Linked DNA regions of Oryctolagus cuniculus. The protein of the gene in region 1 interacts with the protein of each later gene in a pairwise test. Links are inferred from orthologs where the notes say so. Each region holds a gene or a part of one and is shown in the gene's direction. Other genes may lie near its edges. The genes, in order: UBQLN4, PTN, PRPF40A and SPP1.

Region 1 (4,054 bases):
CCAGCACGCTGGCTTCCCTTTCCAGAGGCGCGCTCTCGGTCAGCTGCGGGTCCCCTCGGCCGCCTCCCTTCCCCGCCCCACTCCGCTGCCGCCGCACGGGTCCACGGCCCGCACTCACAGGGTGCTCTGGACGCCTCCGGTGTTGGCTTGGCTTAGCACCTGGGTCAACGCCTTGGGACGCAGCATGCCAGCGGCTCGTCACCCAGCCTTTAAATCCCAGATCCTCCGAGCGGCGTCCCGCTTAGCCGCGGCCTGCGGCTTCCGGCAGTGCAGCGACCCGCTCGGGAACGCCCTGGGAGTTGTAGTTTTCCGACCCCGTGACAGCTGCTCTGGCCCCACCCCGCTCAGCCGCGGAGGGACTGGGAATCGTAGTTCCTGTGGTCTCGCAAGGCACACTGGGAACTGTAGTTCGCCTCCTCAGCTAGACCACGCGGTCGTGGGGGAAAAGAGCGGGAGTGGAAGGGCAATGTGGCAGGGTTGGGAGGACGTTTAACCCCTTGGCGGAGAGAGGTCATCATGGCCGCTTGGCTACTCACGAAGCGATAATAGTAGTAATAAATCCTCGTATTTGTCGGGCACAGCCTGGGTTACTTCTCAGAGCGGTTTTCTACGTTAGGCACTATTCTGTGGGATGAGGCAAGAGATTCTGTTTTCTTGAAACCGAGGCTGGAACGGTGACGCCGGCAACACCCAGTTCTCGCACCGTACAGAACAGGCCATTCAGGCCGTGGGCATCGGGAGCAACAGGGTCACTCCCTGAGTGGAGGCTTTAAGTGGACGTCCCGCGGGGAGAAAATTCAGACTCCCGGTGGAGCGAGGCCCCAGGCCTGGAAAGGAACTTGCACCGCCCAGGGAAGACCAAGTTATCACAGAAAAAGCGGCCACGCAGAAAGTCCTTTGTCCGGGAGCAGGAGTAACCGCGGAGGGGAGGGGGCGGCCCGGGGTCGCAGGGCACGGCGGCGAGGCTCGGGCCGGGCGGGGGTCTCTCGCAGGCCCCCGCCGTGAAGGACACGCCCTCCGCGCCCAGAGGCCCTCGCCACCCAGGCCGCGTCCCGGCGGCCGGACCCCAGGCCGGGCCCTGGGCGGACCCCGCTGCAGTGGCCCCCCCAGTCCGCCCGGGGCGCTGTGGCTGCGGCGGGTCCGGAGGGGGCGGCGGAGCCGCGGCGAGGGGAGGGGAGAGGGGAGTGTTGGAGGCGCCGAGCCGAGCCGGGCCGGCCGGCGGGCGGGGAGGAGGAGGAGGAGGAGGAGCCGGGCGGGCTGGCGGGCGGCCGGGTGGCGGCGGCGGCATGGCGGAGCCGAGCGGGGCCGAGACGAGGCCCCCCATTCGGGTCACCGTCAAGACCCCCAAGGACAAGGAGGAAATTGTGATCTGCGATCGAGCCTCGGTCAAGGAGGTAGTAGGGCTAGCGGCGGGCGGGGGGGGAGCGGAGAGGGAGTGCGGAGGAGGGGGCTACGAAGAAACGGGGCGGGGGGCCTCCGTGACTGCCTGGCGTCCGGGACGGCCCCGGGGAGGAGGGCGGGGGCCGGCGGGGACTCGCGTGGGCAGGAGAGGCGGATATGGGGCGCCCTGCGCGGGCGGGTCTGGGGGAGTGTGGCGCGTGCTGGGGGGAGCGGGCTTTGCACTGGAGCCGGGGCTGGGGGCGTGGTGGAAGAGTGGGTAAGGGGACACCTTGCGCCGGCCCCCGGGAAGCACCCTGGGGCTGAGGGGAGTGTGCGCCCCTGGAACTGGCCGGGGTTCGAGGCGCCGAGGCGCAGTGGCGGCCCCGGCTAGGTGCTGGACCCGTAGAGCGGGTAGGGGGCAGGCGGAGAGCGCCCGCGTCTCCTGTGTGGCCCGGAGAACGCCCAGAGTCCGCCGAACGCAGGGCGCGGGGTGGGGTGGAGGATGTTCTCTGCCCTAGATCCTTCCTGCTCTTTAAGCCCGAGGTGGTCACACTTGGTTTTCAGCTCTTCTGAGATTTGCACAGTGTGCAGTAGGTGCTCCATAAGGTTTTGTTGAATGAGGGACTCTTGCCTGCGTTCGCCACCCCCCTGTAGTTGCTCCAGAATTTCACATAGGCGGGGCTTCAGGATGGGCCATCTGGTTGGAAGAGAGGGATTTGGAAGCTCCCTTTGCTTATTAGCAAGTGCGCCTTTTCTACTCGGAGTGTGCGTTGGGTTGGGTTGGGCTTTGCAGGGACTGAGAATTGAACTCTCCCAGCAGTATAAAATGACTGAATTCCAGAAGAGGGGTCCCTGCAAAGCTGACTTTGAAAACAGCTGGAATTGAGAGGCAAGAGTGTCTGGTCAAGACCTGAGTTCCAATCTGCCCAGGATGTTACCTAAGCTCCCTGCTCTTCCGTTTTCTGATCTTGAACACGGAGTTAATAATGAAAATACCGGACCATTAACTCGTGCCTGGTTCGTGCTCAGTGGCTGGACCTTGTTGTTGCTGTTGTTGAGAGAGCTGGAAGTCAGGAGAGGCGGGACGCTGGAGCGGGGAGAGGAGAAGGCTGAAGAAGCGCCAGGCCGTAGAAGGAGTTGATGGGGCAGTTGCTCAGTCTGGGGTACAGATAGCTGTGAGGGCTTCCTCGGGTGGGAGACTGGGATGGCGCTGAGAGAGGAGCCTCTGACTGGCTTATCTTCCTGGTTAAGAAAGAAGCTCCCTGGGAGGCAGCAGGCGGCAGCTCAAGTCCTTACCTCTCACATGGGAGACCTGGGTTGAGCTTCTGGCTCCTGGCTTCAGCCTAGCCCAGCCCCTGCTATTGCAAGCACTTGGGGGGTGAACCTGTGGCTGGGAGCTCTGTTTGCTCTGTTTGTCTCTCTCTCTCAAATAAGTAAACAAAACTTAAAGCAGGTAAGACACCTGTTGGGATGTCCACAGTCCATTTTGGAGTGCCTGGCCTGGCTCCATTGCCAATTCCAACTTCCTTCTCATGTGCACCCTGGAAAGCAGCAGGTGCTAACTCAGGTGGCTGGGTCCCTGCCACCCACCTGGGAGACCTGGATTGAGTTTCCAGCTCCCAGCTTCTGCCTGACCCAGCCCTGACTGTTGGGGACATTTGGGGAGTGAACCAGTGGCTGTCTGTCTCTGTCTTTCAAATAAATAAGATAAATAAACTAACGGGGTGGGGGGCTGCTTATCGAAGCTGGAGGGGTGGGGTTGAGACAGCCGAAGGGACTTCCCTTTGAAATCCTTGATGAGGAATCAGGGTTCCTGGTGAGAGGCGGGGGTGGGGGGAGAAATAGAACTCCCATCTGCTAGTTCCGTCCCCAGATGCCCATGACAACTGGGATTGGGCCAAGGCCAGGAGCCAGGAATTCAATCCAGGTTTCCCATCTGGGTGGCAGGAATCAAATTACTTAAGGCAGCCAGGGCCAGCGCCTCACCTCCCCGGGTCTGCATTTGTGGGAAGCTGGGATTGGGAGCCAGAGCCAGGAATGGAATTCAGGTGCTAGGATGGGAGCCACAGCCAGCTAAGCAGTAGGCTGAACGCCTGCCCCGCCCCCGTGGCTCTGGCTCGCAGTTCAAAGAGGAGATCTCCCGGAGGTTCAAGGCCCAGCAGGAGCAGCTCGTCCTGATCTTCGCGGGCAAGATCCTCAAGGATGGAGACACGCTGAACCAGCACGGGATCAAGGACGGGCTCACTGTCCATCTGGTCATCAAGACCCCTCAGAAGTAAGTGAGGAGGGGCGCAGCCCACTCCTGGGGCCCCCCCTTGAGCTGCTTTCTCAGCCATGCCCAACTCTCCCTAGAGGCCCTAAGCCCAGGCCCGGGCAGGGAGCTCCTGGCTGGATGTGGTCTCACCTCCAGGACCAGGGCCGCTGACTTCCCAGAATGCCAGAAGACAGGATCCCCGCTCCCTCCTTCCTTTGCCTGGGTTTGCTGAGCTGCGGCGGCCCCAGCATCCACCTTGCTCAGGGGCTGCTCGGTGTAGCAGGTGACAGCTCACCTCAGCCAGCTCCGGGGAGCTTTGTGGTACCGCTGGGATCCTCCCTTCTCTGTCCTCAGGGCTCAAGATCCAGGCGCTGCCACTGCGTCTTCCCCCTGCACGCCTGACCCCGCCTCAGCGCCCTC
Region 2 (4,188 bases), on another chromosome or scaffold:
TCCCTCCAGTCGGTAGTTACCAGCAGATGCTTCACGGGGAGAATGGGCTCCTGTGAGAACAGGGAAGCTGCAATCTGTGTTTCATTGGAGGTTGGTGTACGCCCTGTGTCTGGAGAGTTTCCTTAAGGGGATAGATAGAAAGTGCCTAATGGAATTTCTGATGCACCTCCTTGTGGAAAAAAAAATAAAAAAAAAATGATTGATTGATTAAAAGCTCTACTTGCCGAGCTGCTTCTTGGCCCCCAGTTGACTCCTTCCTCCGTGGGACACTTCTGCTTGTTGCAATCGATGGAAGAGCCTCAGATCCCTGAAAAGCTACCTGCCACAAAACAGTGCTTCTACTTTGGGATGTCAGGGGTGGTTTTAAGTGAATGGAAAAGAGTTAAATAAGGTACTTAACAAATATTTGTCAAATTGAATAGAAGGACGTGAGCTCAGAACCACAGAAATGGACAAACAAACCACAACCAAATGGGGGGGTGCAGCCGGCATGTGGGCTGTGGCCAAATGGTGATAGCAAGGACATAAAAGGAGCATTGGAAGGAGCTGGAAAGAAGTGACAAGAGACAGAACACTTCACAATTCACTTCTGTAAATGTTAGTGGAAATCTGCTTTGTAAGTCTGAATCATTTCATACAACACTTTTAATCTCATCTATGCCATAAATATTCATCTACATATGACTTCAGCAGTCCCAATTCTACTATCTCAGCATCTTTCTTCCATTGAATGAGATGGAATTCCTGAAAGTCAAGGAGCCCAGCCTCTGAGTTCTATAAAACCTAGCATTTGAGCTCCATTGATCAATCCCCTAAATTCTTTGTCGATGTCAAAGGCTTATCATTACAAAGGCTCATAAAAGCACCACAGAAGCAAAAAAAAAAAAAAAAAAAAAAAAAACCTAAAGGAAAGCAGCACTTAATTAGGAACCTGAAGACATCTGTCACTCTGTGACAATGGAGAAAAGTACTCTGCACACTTTGGGAGGCTCAGGTGGGCTGGGACTGACAGCTGAATTTGGCTGGGGTTCTTCTGTGTAGGGAGGGCGTTTGGGGGTGGGGAAGAACAAGAAGCTGTTTTTTTCATCCTGAATATTATTTTTAAAAAATGACAGGGGCCAAAACTGCAACCTAAAATGTCACTGTGTGTGATAGGTTAACTTGGTAAACTGGGGAATGCGCCCCCGGAAAGCACCGAGCATGCATGGGGTTTGCAAAAGCTAGACTGTGTTCCGTCTCTCTGCTAAAAACAATACAGTCTTACATCTCCTGGCTTCTTGGTTCAAATCCGTTTTCTTGCTCCACGGGGAGAGACTGCCCCTGGAGTAGCCTGCTTTTAATAAGCTTCCCAATCAGCTCTCGGGTGAAAAGCACTCTCCCTCCCTCGCCCAGCCTGCATCCTCTCCCATCCCTCCCATTCTCCATTTCCCTTCCGTTCCCTCCCTGTCAGGGCGTAATTGAGTCAAAAGCAGATCAGGTTCCCCGCCTTCCAGTCCAAAAATCCCGCCAAGGGAGCCCCAGAGCACAGGAAAATCCAAAGTGGAGAGAGAGGAAGAAAGAGACCAGTGAGTCGTCTGTACAGAAGAGCAGAGCAGCGGCCGCCCAGGCAGGAGCAGCAGCGCGCAGGGTACCTGGACTCCAGCAGCGGCAAACCTCGCCCCTTCCAACAAAGGCAGCCTGAGCGCCAGGGAGGACATTTGCAGCTCAAAGTAAGCGGAGGGAATGTGTGATTTCCCCCAGGGGGCTTAAGTGTGCTTGCACCCTGTGCCACTTTTCTGGTTGCCAGCGGATGAAGGTGCTGGGAGTGGGAGAGGGGCTGCCTGGTGTGGTTGCTGATAGGACTGCTCTCAAAACTGACTTACTGCAGACTGAGGCATGTTTTTGGGAGGGCTGTCAGGTCAGGTTTAAGGAGAGTGTGCTTTTCTGAGCAGAAGGAGGGAAGCCTTTGTCGTGGGAAGCCTGCGTTTGGAGGCTGCTCCAGCTGACTGCTACAGAGCTTGCCAGGGTGGGCTGCAGGGTGCATGGTTGCTCTTTGTCAAACCTGAGGCTTTGGGAGGTGTGTGTGTGTGTGTGACTCAGTAGAGAGGAGGCAGGAAGGCAGCCCTTGTGAGCAGGTCTCATTTTCCCATTCTTTTTCTGCTTCTCGGAGTACCCCGGGGGCTTGCCAGCGGATGACCCTTAGCTGGCATTTCTGGGTGACGTGTGGGGGCTTGTTTGTCCCCCTGCCTGGTGACACTGAGCAGCTGGCACTGTCAATCCTGCCTGACAGCCAGGAACACTTCGAGAAATGGTCAAGTCCAAACTTTCCAAGATGCACCATGGTTCCCCATTGCTCATTTGGTTGCCGACTTTGATCCCTGTCCTGCACTGTCCTGCTTGCCCTTTTCCCTTTACCCACAGAAAGCTAGGGTATGTTTGTTACCCCAGGTATACTTTGTTAGACCATCAATTTCTGAATTGACTGTTCTAATAACTTAACAAAATATTTTTTGAGAGGAATGTACCAAATTCTTTCCTTACTTAATGTACAGAACATAAAACTCCCTCTCCTCTTAACACACACGCACACACACACCCTTGTACCTAACAACACAACACCTACATCCACTCAAGAATACACACAGAGTTTATATACACTCTGTTGTTACCTTAGCCCTGTCTAATAGCTGCTTTGTGAAATTGGGGGATACACTGAGACAATAGGTGTGGAGTTGGGGGCGCACGAGAGGAGGAAATGAGCAATGTGAGGGAAGTGCCAAATTCTAGTAGTTTTGCTCTTTTAGTAGTTGAGCTGTCATGGCATGTGTTAGCAGTAGCTTGAGAAAGAGGTTCTGTGTGTGTGTGTGTGTGTGTGTGTTGGAGGGAAGGGCCTGGGAGGAGAGTCAGGAACCACCCAGAAGAGCTTTGTAACTAATAACATAATGGAGCCACTTCATGATCTCATTCAAATGTGGAATTGATGAAACAGCAGAGTGCATGTTAGCCCCTTAATCATCTGGGGATGAATTGATTTGCAGGACTATTAAGAGGTAGTGGGAGTGAAACAAAAGGGAAGGTGATCCACACTGAAAACCAAGCTTGTGTCTCCCATCTTTGGTCTGTTCCTTTCTAAGTTGATTATGCACTTTAAAGACTAAGTCATAAAAAGCGGTTAAAGACCAGCTGAATTCAAAGGAAAAGAGAGTGGATATTACCTTTCTCTCCCTTTGGGACATGCGTTATTTTAGAGTGGCAATATTTGTACTTTATTACTTAAATTAAAAGTTTTTTTAGGTATTATATTTGCTTTGAAAAACATCCAACACCATTTTCTGTGCTTTAAGAAACTTCCATGCTTTATGGTCTCTGGCTGTATACTTTGAATTTGGACAGGCGATCATTCCCCTCCCACTACTTGAAGCCCAGGACACTTTTCCTCTCAGTTTCGTGAAAAACCTCTCTGGGATGAAGTTGTACAGCTGCTTGCAGAGCTGTGCCCCAGTGGTTTGCTTGTGGACACAAATGCATCGCCTTCTCAAAGCCAGAGCTGCGACAGAGAGCAAGCTGCAGCTAACACGGGGCTTTTTAACTGTTGACTTTGTATTACAGGGAATGAACATAATAAACCATATTTAACTATATGCAGTATAGCATATCATATACTATTTTTCTTTTACCCTAGATTTCTTTCCATGGAGTTTGGTACAAGGAACATTAATTTACCGCAAGTTTCCATGTGCCTTATGTGGTCTTTACAAAAAGCAAACTGTAGCAAGACCTGCATTTTTTAAATGGGGATTTTTATTACCATTGTTCCAGTAAAGCCAATGACCTGAATTTTCACAAAAAGTCATCGTTTAAGATAATATAAGAGAAATAGATTCTTAAAGTTTCACAATCACTTGTATTAGCAAAATCAATTTTAGGAATAAAATAAGTGTGAATGTTTTATTTCTCTTTGAACATATTCTTTTTCCATTTAAATGACAATCTCACTTGAATTCCGATTATTTTCCTAGTTGCAGTGTGGTGGTTTTATGGCTACTCAAAAACTTCCCAGGCAACGGGCTTCTTCAGAATCATGTAATAAGTTAATAATCATGTAATAAGTTAATAACCATGTAATACATTAATAATCCTCTAATACGTTAATAATCAAGTGATAAGTAGACTGAGGACCAGAAGTCAGAATCCAGAATCTAATTTGCA
Region 3 (3,562 bases), on another chromosome or scaffold:
AAATGTATTCTTTGAATGACCCCCAACCAAAACCAGTTAAAAATTCTTGATTGTATTATTTTTATTTTGGATTTGTGTTTGGCAAACTTTTTGATAAAATACCAAATGTAAGTATTTGGGGTTTTGTGTTTGTTAACAATGCCAACTCTGCTGTGGTCCCACAGATTGGCCATAATCAGTATATAAACAAATGAGCAAGGCTGTGTATATTTCTAGTCAGAGTGGGCTAGTTTTGGCTAGTGTAGTATGCTGCATATGCTGACCTTGGTTTAGATTAACCTCTATATCTTTTTTATATTTTTGCAGTTATGCGAAATACTCAGTCATTAACACACTAATATGAAACCATTGAATTAACCATTTAAAATGGTTAGGTTGTAGACTAGTGGAGCTGGTGTTTAATGCAGTTAATGTTATATTTTGGCATTTCTACAAGGTTTTAATAACTATACTTTCAGGAAAACTCTGTATTGCCTTTATTCCTGTGTTTTTAGCATCTGTATATGAGGCTTAATTCCCAAATTGTCAAAATTTAACATCAAATATTATTTAAATAACAACTAAAGGCATTTATATTTCTGACTGAAGCAAGTATTTGTTTAAATTATCAATGACATGTTTACATTTCTCTAGTTTTACTCCCAAAAAAGAAGAGGAGGAAAGCCAGCCAGCAAAAAAAACATATACTTGGAATACAAAGGAGGAGGCAAAGCAAGCATTTAAAGAATTATTGAAGGAAAAGGTATTTGTGTTACAGATTTTTATATGCTGTGTATAAATTACCTAATAAAATGAGTTATTTTTAATGCAAACCTTGATACCTTTATTTAAAATACTGATTTCATGTACTGTTTTTACTGAAAATCAACTAAAATTGTCTTATTTTTTTGAAGATCACTATTTTGAAACTTTGAACAAAAAAACTTGAACAAAACTACACCAGGACATTTCTTCTTCAATATTTAATACAAGGTTTTTTATTTATAGTTATAATTGTTTACCTTTTAATCAAAATTGTAAAGAAAAAATACTCATTCCCTGTTTAAATTTGAGTTCAAGTTCTTTTCAGTTGATAGGTAGATTTCAGAGGTTTCCCATCAATAAAACATTATTTAGAACTTTTCAAAATCCTACAAAGGAAAATTCTTGAGGTTTACAGTGAGTATTGTAGTTGGTTCCCTGTTACATGACTTACTGTGCTAGTGTGAAATTTTAATTCTTCATTTAAATGGTTTTCAGCGGGTACCATCCAATGCTTCATGGGAACAAGCTATGAAAATGATCATTAATGATCCACGATACAGGTAATACTTCATTATTTTATAAACTTTTCACTTTGGCATAGCAAGCCTAGCACATTTAAAATTGTGGAGAATGGTGCAGTTTTTAATTCAGATTAATGTTCATTGTTTTAAGATATAAAGAATAAAGTTCTTTTGTGGATTAAAAAGAAAAAAATCTAAAAGGCTTGTCATTAGATTTGAGCATCCTGTTTTCTATGAAATTACTTATTTTGAATTAGAAATTATTTTCTAGTACCATTTCTTTGATAAATTTTTACAATCTTAATTTATGCATGAGAAAAGTTGTTGGTTTTCCCCCCCAAGTATTAACATTGTATTTTCTTGCCTTCATTTCATGTGTTTTTTTTATATTTAGTGCTTTAGCAAAATTGAGTGAAAAAAAGCAGGCTTTTAATGCCTATAAAGTCCAGACAGAAAAAGAGGAAAAAGAAGAAGCAAGATCGAAATACAAAGAGGCTAAGGAATCCTTTCAGCGTTTCCTTGAAAATCATGATAAAATGACTTCCACAACCAGATACAAGTAAGGATTTTAGTGATTCAAGACTATGTTTAACTATATTCTTTTGTCATACTTTCTTGCCAGCTGTAGTGACTGATCTAAAACAAATACTGATTGAATAATTAGATAATTATTAAGTGTGGCAGTTTGGTGAGATAAATCAGTAGTTAAATGAAATTTGACTTGTGGACCCTCTGAGTTACTGCTTAGGGACTTGAAGAAAAAAAGATTAGATTTAATAAAGCTCGATTCCCTTTTACATAATTGAAATATTTAATATTTGTGGAGTAGAAATAAGCTATTTTAATTGAGCAGTGGTAGTTTGCTTTTTATTTAAAATTATGAGTAATTCAGTACTAAAAATTTTACAGTAAGTTCAGCTTATTTTCCCTGTTTATTTTTCTTTCTTAGAAGCCTTAGTAAAGAATTCTTAATTTTTTAAATATATTTTATGTGATCATTAAATTTCCTATGACTTCATAAAATTTTAACTTAGTTCTGTGGATATTTGGTAGTCTCTAGCTACCCATAGGAATAAGGATACTGTAGATATTCTGTCTATGGATAATGGAGGCTTACATTGTTTTATTCTTTTCTTCACTGTTCAAAAGCTATCCTTTGTAGTATAGTTAGGACTTTTAGAGAGGAATGATCATTTCGTGATTTTAAATTTAACTAAAAATTGAAATGTTTTAAGATTATTTTTATTGTATAATGTAGAGTAATATTTATTTTTGTGATAAATAGAAAAGCAGAGCAAATGTTTGGAGAGATGGAAGTCTGGAATGCAATATCTGAACGTGACCGTCTTGAAATCTATGAAGATGTTTTGTTCTTTCTTTCAAAAAAAGAAAAGGTATTGTTTATTCCTAGTTGTTGGTTTCATAGACAAAACTTCTTCTGATAAGGAGCTACACCATGTCCATTTTTATTGCTTAGGTTATCCTGTCTGTGTGATGTAACTGATCTTTTTATTAGAAGCTAAGGTTTAAAATGAAGTGCATAGTCATTATATTACTCTTTATCCTTTTCCTTGTAGCATATGTATTGAAGTCATCACAAAATTACTTAAGTTGCCAATAATTAGCTGCCTTATGCCCACTTTGAAAAATAATTTATCTCATTGAGTTTAAAACTGCTTTTTCTGCTGATGCATTTGATTCTACTCTTAAGAATAAAGTAATGTGCATTTGTTTCAACTAAACTGAACTTACAGGATAGAGTTATGAAATACCTCTTTTATTCATGCCTGTTTTGTTATGCTTTATTAAAATTTTCATTATCCAGTCTTCAAGAAACATAAATGTAAGCATTACCAAAAATTTGAACATGGGACAAATTTCTGGCCTAGTGGTTTAGACTTTTGGGACAGCTGCGTTATACATATGGCATACCTGGAGTCAGTTCCATCTGCTATTCCAGCTTCTTGATATTGCATACCCTACGAGGTGGCACTGATAACTCAAGTAATTGGTTTCCTGGCTCATGTCTTTGGCATAGCCTAACAATTGCCAGCATTTTGGTAATGAATCAATGGATGAGAACTCTGTGTGAGTTTGTATGTCTTAGATAAATATCTCCCAAAATTTTTTAGCATAGCTAGAAGCCATTAAAACTATTAAAGGACCTTAACATTTACTATTATGTGACTCGTATGCAGTATCTTTAGTTATAGGCTCTGTCTGTAATATATTGTAGTAGGAAAAGAAGTGTATGGAGTAGGGATAAAAAACAAAAATATGCTTTCCAGATTCTGAAC
Region 4 (4,166 bases), on another chromosome or scaffold:
ATTTTTTTCTCATTAAATAACCAAATTCATATATTTTGGAAGAAAAACTGGGAAAAAAACACAATTCAGAAATCTAATCTTCCCTTAACATATGCATAGCCTGGGGCAGGCCCTTGGTCTAGCTGTCAAGCTCACATCCGACACTGGAGCACCAGCTCTGGCTCCTGATGCCAGCTTCCCATCAGTGCAGACCCCGAGAGGCAGCAGAGAGGGCTCCAGCAACTGGGCTCCTGCCACCCACGTGGGAAACTTGGATTGTTGTCCTGGCTCCTGGCTTCAGCCTCAGCCCAGTCTTGGTCATTGCAGGCATTTGTAGAGTAAAGCAGCAAATGGGATCTCTCTCTCTCTCTCTCTCTCTCTCTCTCTGATAAATAAAAAATCTGTATTTTTCAATTGAAAAACACACTAGGGCGTTTGCCTCTAATGCATACCCAACATTGTTATTTGTACATATACTGACTCATGTAAACCTCTCAAAAGTTCCAGGAGCTGGGTTAACAGGGTCTGCATTTCACAGATGAGGAATACAGGTATAGATAGCCTAGTGATGTGTCCAAGGTCAGGCCAGCAACTCTAGACGGAGCAGGGTTCAAGGCCGCAGCGCGGCTCCTGAAGCAGCCCTCTCAGGCGGTCATCCTGCTCTCGGTCAGACACGGCCCTGACTGCTGCAGCATCCACCGTAAATCGCCGCTCACTCTCTTAGTTGATGCGGTTTTTATACGTATTTACCAGATTCATCACCTCTGAACAATTCAGACCGTGCAACAAAAATCCATGTCATTGAAAGGTCACTGCAAGTCTTCCAACGGAACGAGCATGAATAGGGACCTCAGTGTCACTAAGATCGTTCATCTAAATGACAAGCTGCTGCTGACTTGAAGTCACAAAACGGAGCTTGAGTAGAAAGGGACAGAGGGACGCTTCCTCTCGCTGGGCCTCGACAGTGGCCTTCAAGTTCTTCAGGAAACAGAACGGCAACTGTGGTTGCGGATATCACCTTCATCTATTACTTGGGGAAACAAAAGCCCTTTCTATTTCATTTCATTCCAGGCTGATTTACATGCGTATTTTTTCGCCTAACTCAGAAATTATAAATAAAATCTCTGTAAGAACTAGTTACTTTCCCTTTCTTTTAGGAGACCCCTAAGTGCTCTTCCAGGAGTCCGAATGCCATTCCAGTAAATGGCAAAGCCAGTTAACATTGTGCATAAGTGCGTGTGTGTGTGTGTGTGTGTGTGTGTGTCAATTTTGGTTTCTTTTGTTTTTTGTTTCTAACCACAAAACCAGAAGGGGAAGTGTGGGAGCAGGTGGGCTGGGCTGTGGCAAACAACCTCATGACACATCTCTCCGCCTCCCTGTGTTGCTGGAGGATGTTGGAGCAGCATTTAAATCCCGAGAGGCTCCGGCTGTCAGCAGCAGGAGGAGGCAGAGAGCGCAGCATCCTCTGGGACTGGACTCATCTCGGGCCAGTTGCAGCCTTCTCAGCCACACGCCGACCAAGGTAAGCCTGCAGCCTGCTCCGACTGTGTTGCTGTCCATACTTTCAGTTGAATTTCATGGGCAAGTTCAAGTTGTAAGGAAAATAGTTTAAGCTGTGATGCTGTAACAGTTAGACTGCAGTTTTTGTGTTGTTGTTGAATAAGCAGATCAGATATGTTACAAGTCTGGAACCAAAGTGCTCAGATATTTTGAAAGCCAAATGCAAAACTTAGAAACATACCTATTGAATTCTCCAAAGACCTGAAGCAACTGCTTCCAGTCAGAAAAAAGTAAAATTCTATGCCCCCTTGGAATGAGTGTGTGTCTTTTAAATGGCTGGATGACTGTGGAGGCATTAAATAAAGAATAATCTTTTGTGCTATTGTAAACCACTGATAATGCTATTTTTAAATGATTTGGTCTATCTCATTTTCAAGGAAAAAATCCTTTCTGCATATTTTACTTCTGTGTTTAGCTGTTAAAAATGTCAACAAGAAATTTTTTAAAACCTGTATGCTTTCACTATTTTCTTCTTCATTTCAAACTTCTAGACTACCTTACCTAAATAACTAACTTGAAAGATAGCTATAATTCAACTAAGCAGCAGCTTCTTAATAATTTGGGTGTAAGAATGTGTTTTAAATGCATGCTGGAGAAATGGGGACAGCAAATTTCTTTCATTTTTTTTTTGCCCTTTGTGTTTTTCTTCTCTGAATATTAGGTACTCCCATGCGTGCTTATTATTTTAATTAAATTTCTGTTGATAATGCTTTTAGGTTTAGATATCGAGTAGGGGTGATATAATCTCTGGAACTCTAAATTAAAAACTGAATAAAATGGAGACTTGTAAAATTCCCCTCTCACTTGTCTAACAGTGAAGTGGAAAATGGAAGTGACAAACATGAATTCCAAAGACCATGTTACAAACAGACGAGTTAGTCCAACAAGTAGAATACATTCAACAGAATGTTTTACTTGTGATTGTTGATTATTTTGTAATGTGGCAGATTTTTACATTTTAACCTATGAAGCTGTTCTTACAAAATATTTTGCAGGAACAATCACCACCATGAGAATCGCTGTGATTTGCTTTTGTCTCTTGGGCATGGCCTACGCCCTCCCGGTGAGTGCTGCTACTCTTACAGGAAATTCACAGGAATAAGTGAACTGGGTGCCTTCTTGTGCTAGAACACAATCCCGCAGTAACGTTGCTTCCTCTTTTCTGTTTGAAAGGTTAAACACGCTGATTCGGGCAGCTCCGAGGAAAAGCAGGTAAGCACCTTTGAAGTCTGTCATCTAGTGAGATTGGTCATGTATTCATTGCCAGGAGTAGCCAAACATCTTTGTTGCAATTTGACTTACCTTCATGGTCAAGCCCATTCATTTACAACCCTGCTAATTGACCTCTGTTATGAATCTAGACCCAACCTAAGCACAGTATAGTTTTTGATAAATGCGTGTTCTTAAAAGCAAGCTGGGCTTGTTTTAACATGATAAAATAATTATCTGGGTCATAATCACATGTGAAGTGAATTCCATGAAGTGGTGTGACTTTCTTTCCATGAGTCAACCTGCTTTTCTAGAAGCAGAAAATTCCATCCTTTGCTTTACTTAGGGGAAAGCTATGTTTGAAATTCACCTTGGCTATGGCTCAGGACTGTTGTCTGACCACAATATCGCCTAAGAAATTTGTAGGACGCCCATTGTGCAAAGAAGGTCTACTTGTGCTGTTTGTATCTATTGTGCTCGTCAGCTGACTTTAGATCACATTTTTCAAACCAAGCATAAGACCAAACCAAACTATTATAATGATTTGACCAACACCCTAGAGGTACCTGCCCCTCCACAATAGATGAAGCTGTGCCAGCCACACAACAAATGGGCCTTGTTCTGAGAAGCTTGGACAAAAAGGCACACAGAGTTCAATTCCAGATGAATAGAATAGAGGCCAATGCAGAGTTGCCTAGGGTCACGGCCATTAGACTGCTTAATGAAGACATGAAGAGAGGTGCTCTGTGTGTGTGTGTGTGTGTGTGTGTGTGTGGCTGTGCATGTGTGTACATGTGTCTGTTGATTTGCGAACACAGATAGAATCACAATAACAAAGTAGAAAAGCTAACATCTCCAAAGAAGGTACAAGCCATACTATTCAAGGAAAGAACTGGTGCCTTTTAAAACAGAATAAAATCTGGCAAGGGTACATTGATGAAAGGCACATAGGCCATGACATTATGTCACTAAAGTCATGTACCATTGCTAGGAGAAATTCTCTCTCTTGCTCTCTCTCCCCTAGCATATTATAGTTATTTTCTAGACAAATAAGTCTCTGGCGGCTTAGAAAAATAGAATTCTTGTGCAACAATGTTGATATATTTTGTACTGTCTGATAAGACAGCCACTGGACACACATGGCTACTGAGCACTCAGAATGTGACTATGGCACCGCATTGGCCTGGTGGTTAAGATGCTGGGTAAAGACTCCATGTTCCATCTCAGAGTGCCTGAGTTTAATGCCCCATCCCAGCTTCTGATTCCAACTTAACGGCTTATACAGACCCTGGTAGGTGGCAATGATGGCTCAAGGGATTGGATCCCTGCCACTCTTGAGAGAGCTGAATTGGGTTCCATTCCCTGGCCGGCACTGCAGCTCACTAGGCTAATACTCCGCCCTGCGGCGCCGGTACCCC

The links.
Region 2: the proteins of UBQLN4 (region 1) and PTN interact in a two-hybrid assay, tested with the Homo sapiens proteins (2 studies listed by BioGRID and IntAct). The link is inferred for Oryctolagus cuniculus from reciprocal best matches to the Homo sapiens genes UBQLN4 and PTN.
Region 3: the proteins of UBQLN4 (region 1) and PRPF40A interact in a two-hybrid assay, tested with the Homo sapiens proteins (2 studies listed by BioGRID and IntAct). The link is inferred for Oryctolagus cuniculus from reciprocal best matches to the Homo sapiens genes UBQLN4 and PRPF40A.
Region 4: the proteins of UBQLN4 (region 1) and SPP1 interact in a two-hybrid assay, tested with the Homo sapiens proteins (2 studies listed by BioGRID and IntAct). The link is inferred for Oryctolagus cuniculus from reciprocal best matches to the Homo sapiens genes UBQLN4 and SPP1.

The regions. Positions count from the first base shown.
Region 1 is NC_091438.1:42,636,662-42,640,715, forward strand, and holds the start of UBQLN4 (ubiquilin-4), read left to right. Parts: upstream 1-1,206; 5' UTR 1,207-1,286; coding exon 1,287-1,394; intron 1,395-3,503; coding exon 3,504-3,655; intron 3,656-3,988; coding exon 3,989-4,054. Other genes in the region: ragulator complex protein LAMTOR2, read right to left, coding at 119-186. UniProt on the Homo sapiens protein: Regulator of protein degradation that mediates the proteasomal targeting of misfolded, mislocalized or accumulated proteins.
Region 2 is NC_091434.1:173,077,294-173,081,481, reverse strand, and holds the start of PTN (pleiotrophin), read left to right. Parts: upstream 1-1,361; 5' UTR 1,362-1,709; intron 1,710-4,188.
Region 3 is NC_091434.1:89,207,265-89,210,826, forward strand, and holds part of PRPF40A (pre-mRNA-processing factor 40 homolog A), read left to right. Parts: intron 1-633; coding exon 634-742; intron 743-1,239; coding exon 1,240-1,304; intron 1,305-1,659; coding exon 1,660-1,824; intron 1,825-2,550; coding exon 2,551-2,659; intron 2,660-3,562.
Region 4 is NC_091439.1:77,729,243-77,733,408, reverse strand, and holds the start of SPP1 (osteopontin), read left to right. Parts: upstream 1-1,356; 5' UTR 1,357-1,501; intron 1,502-2,534; 5' UTR 2,535-2,548; coding exon 2,549-2,602; intron 2,603-2,712; coding exon 2,713-2,751; intron 2,752-4,166. UniProt on the Homo sapiens protein: Major non-collagenous bone protein that binds tightly to hydroxyapatite. Appears to form an integral part of the mineralized matrix. Probably important to cell-matrix interaction.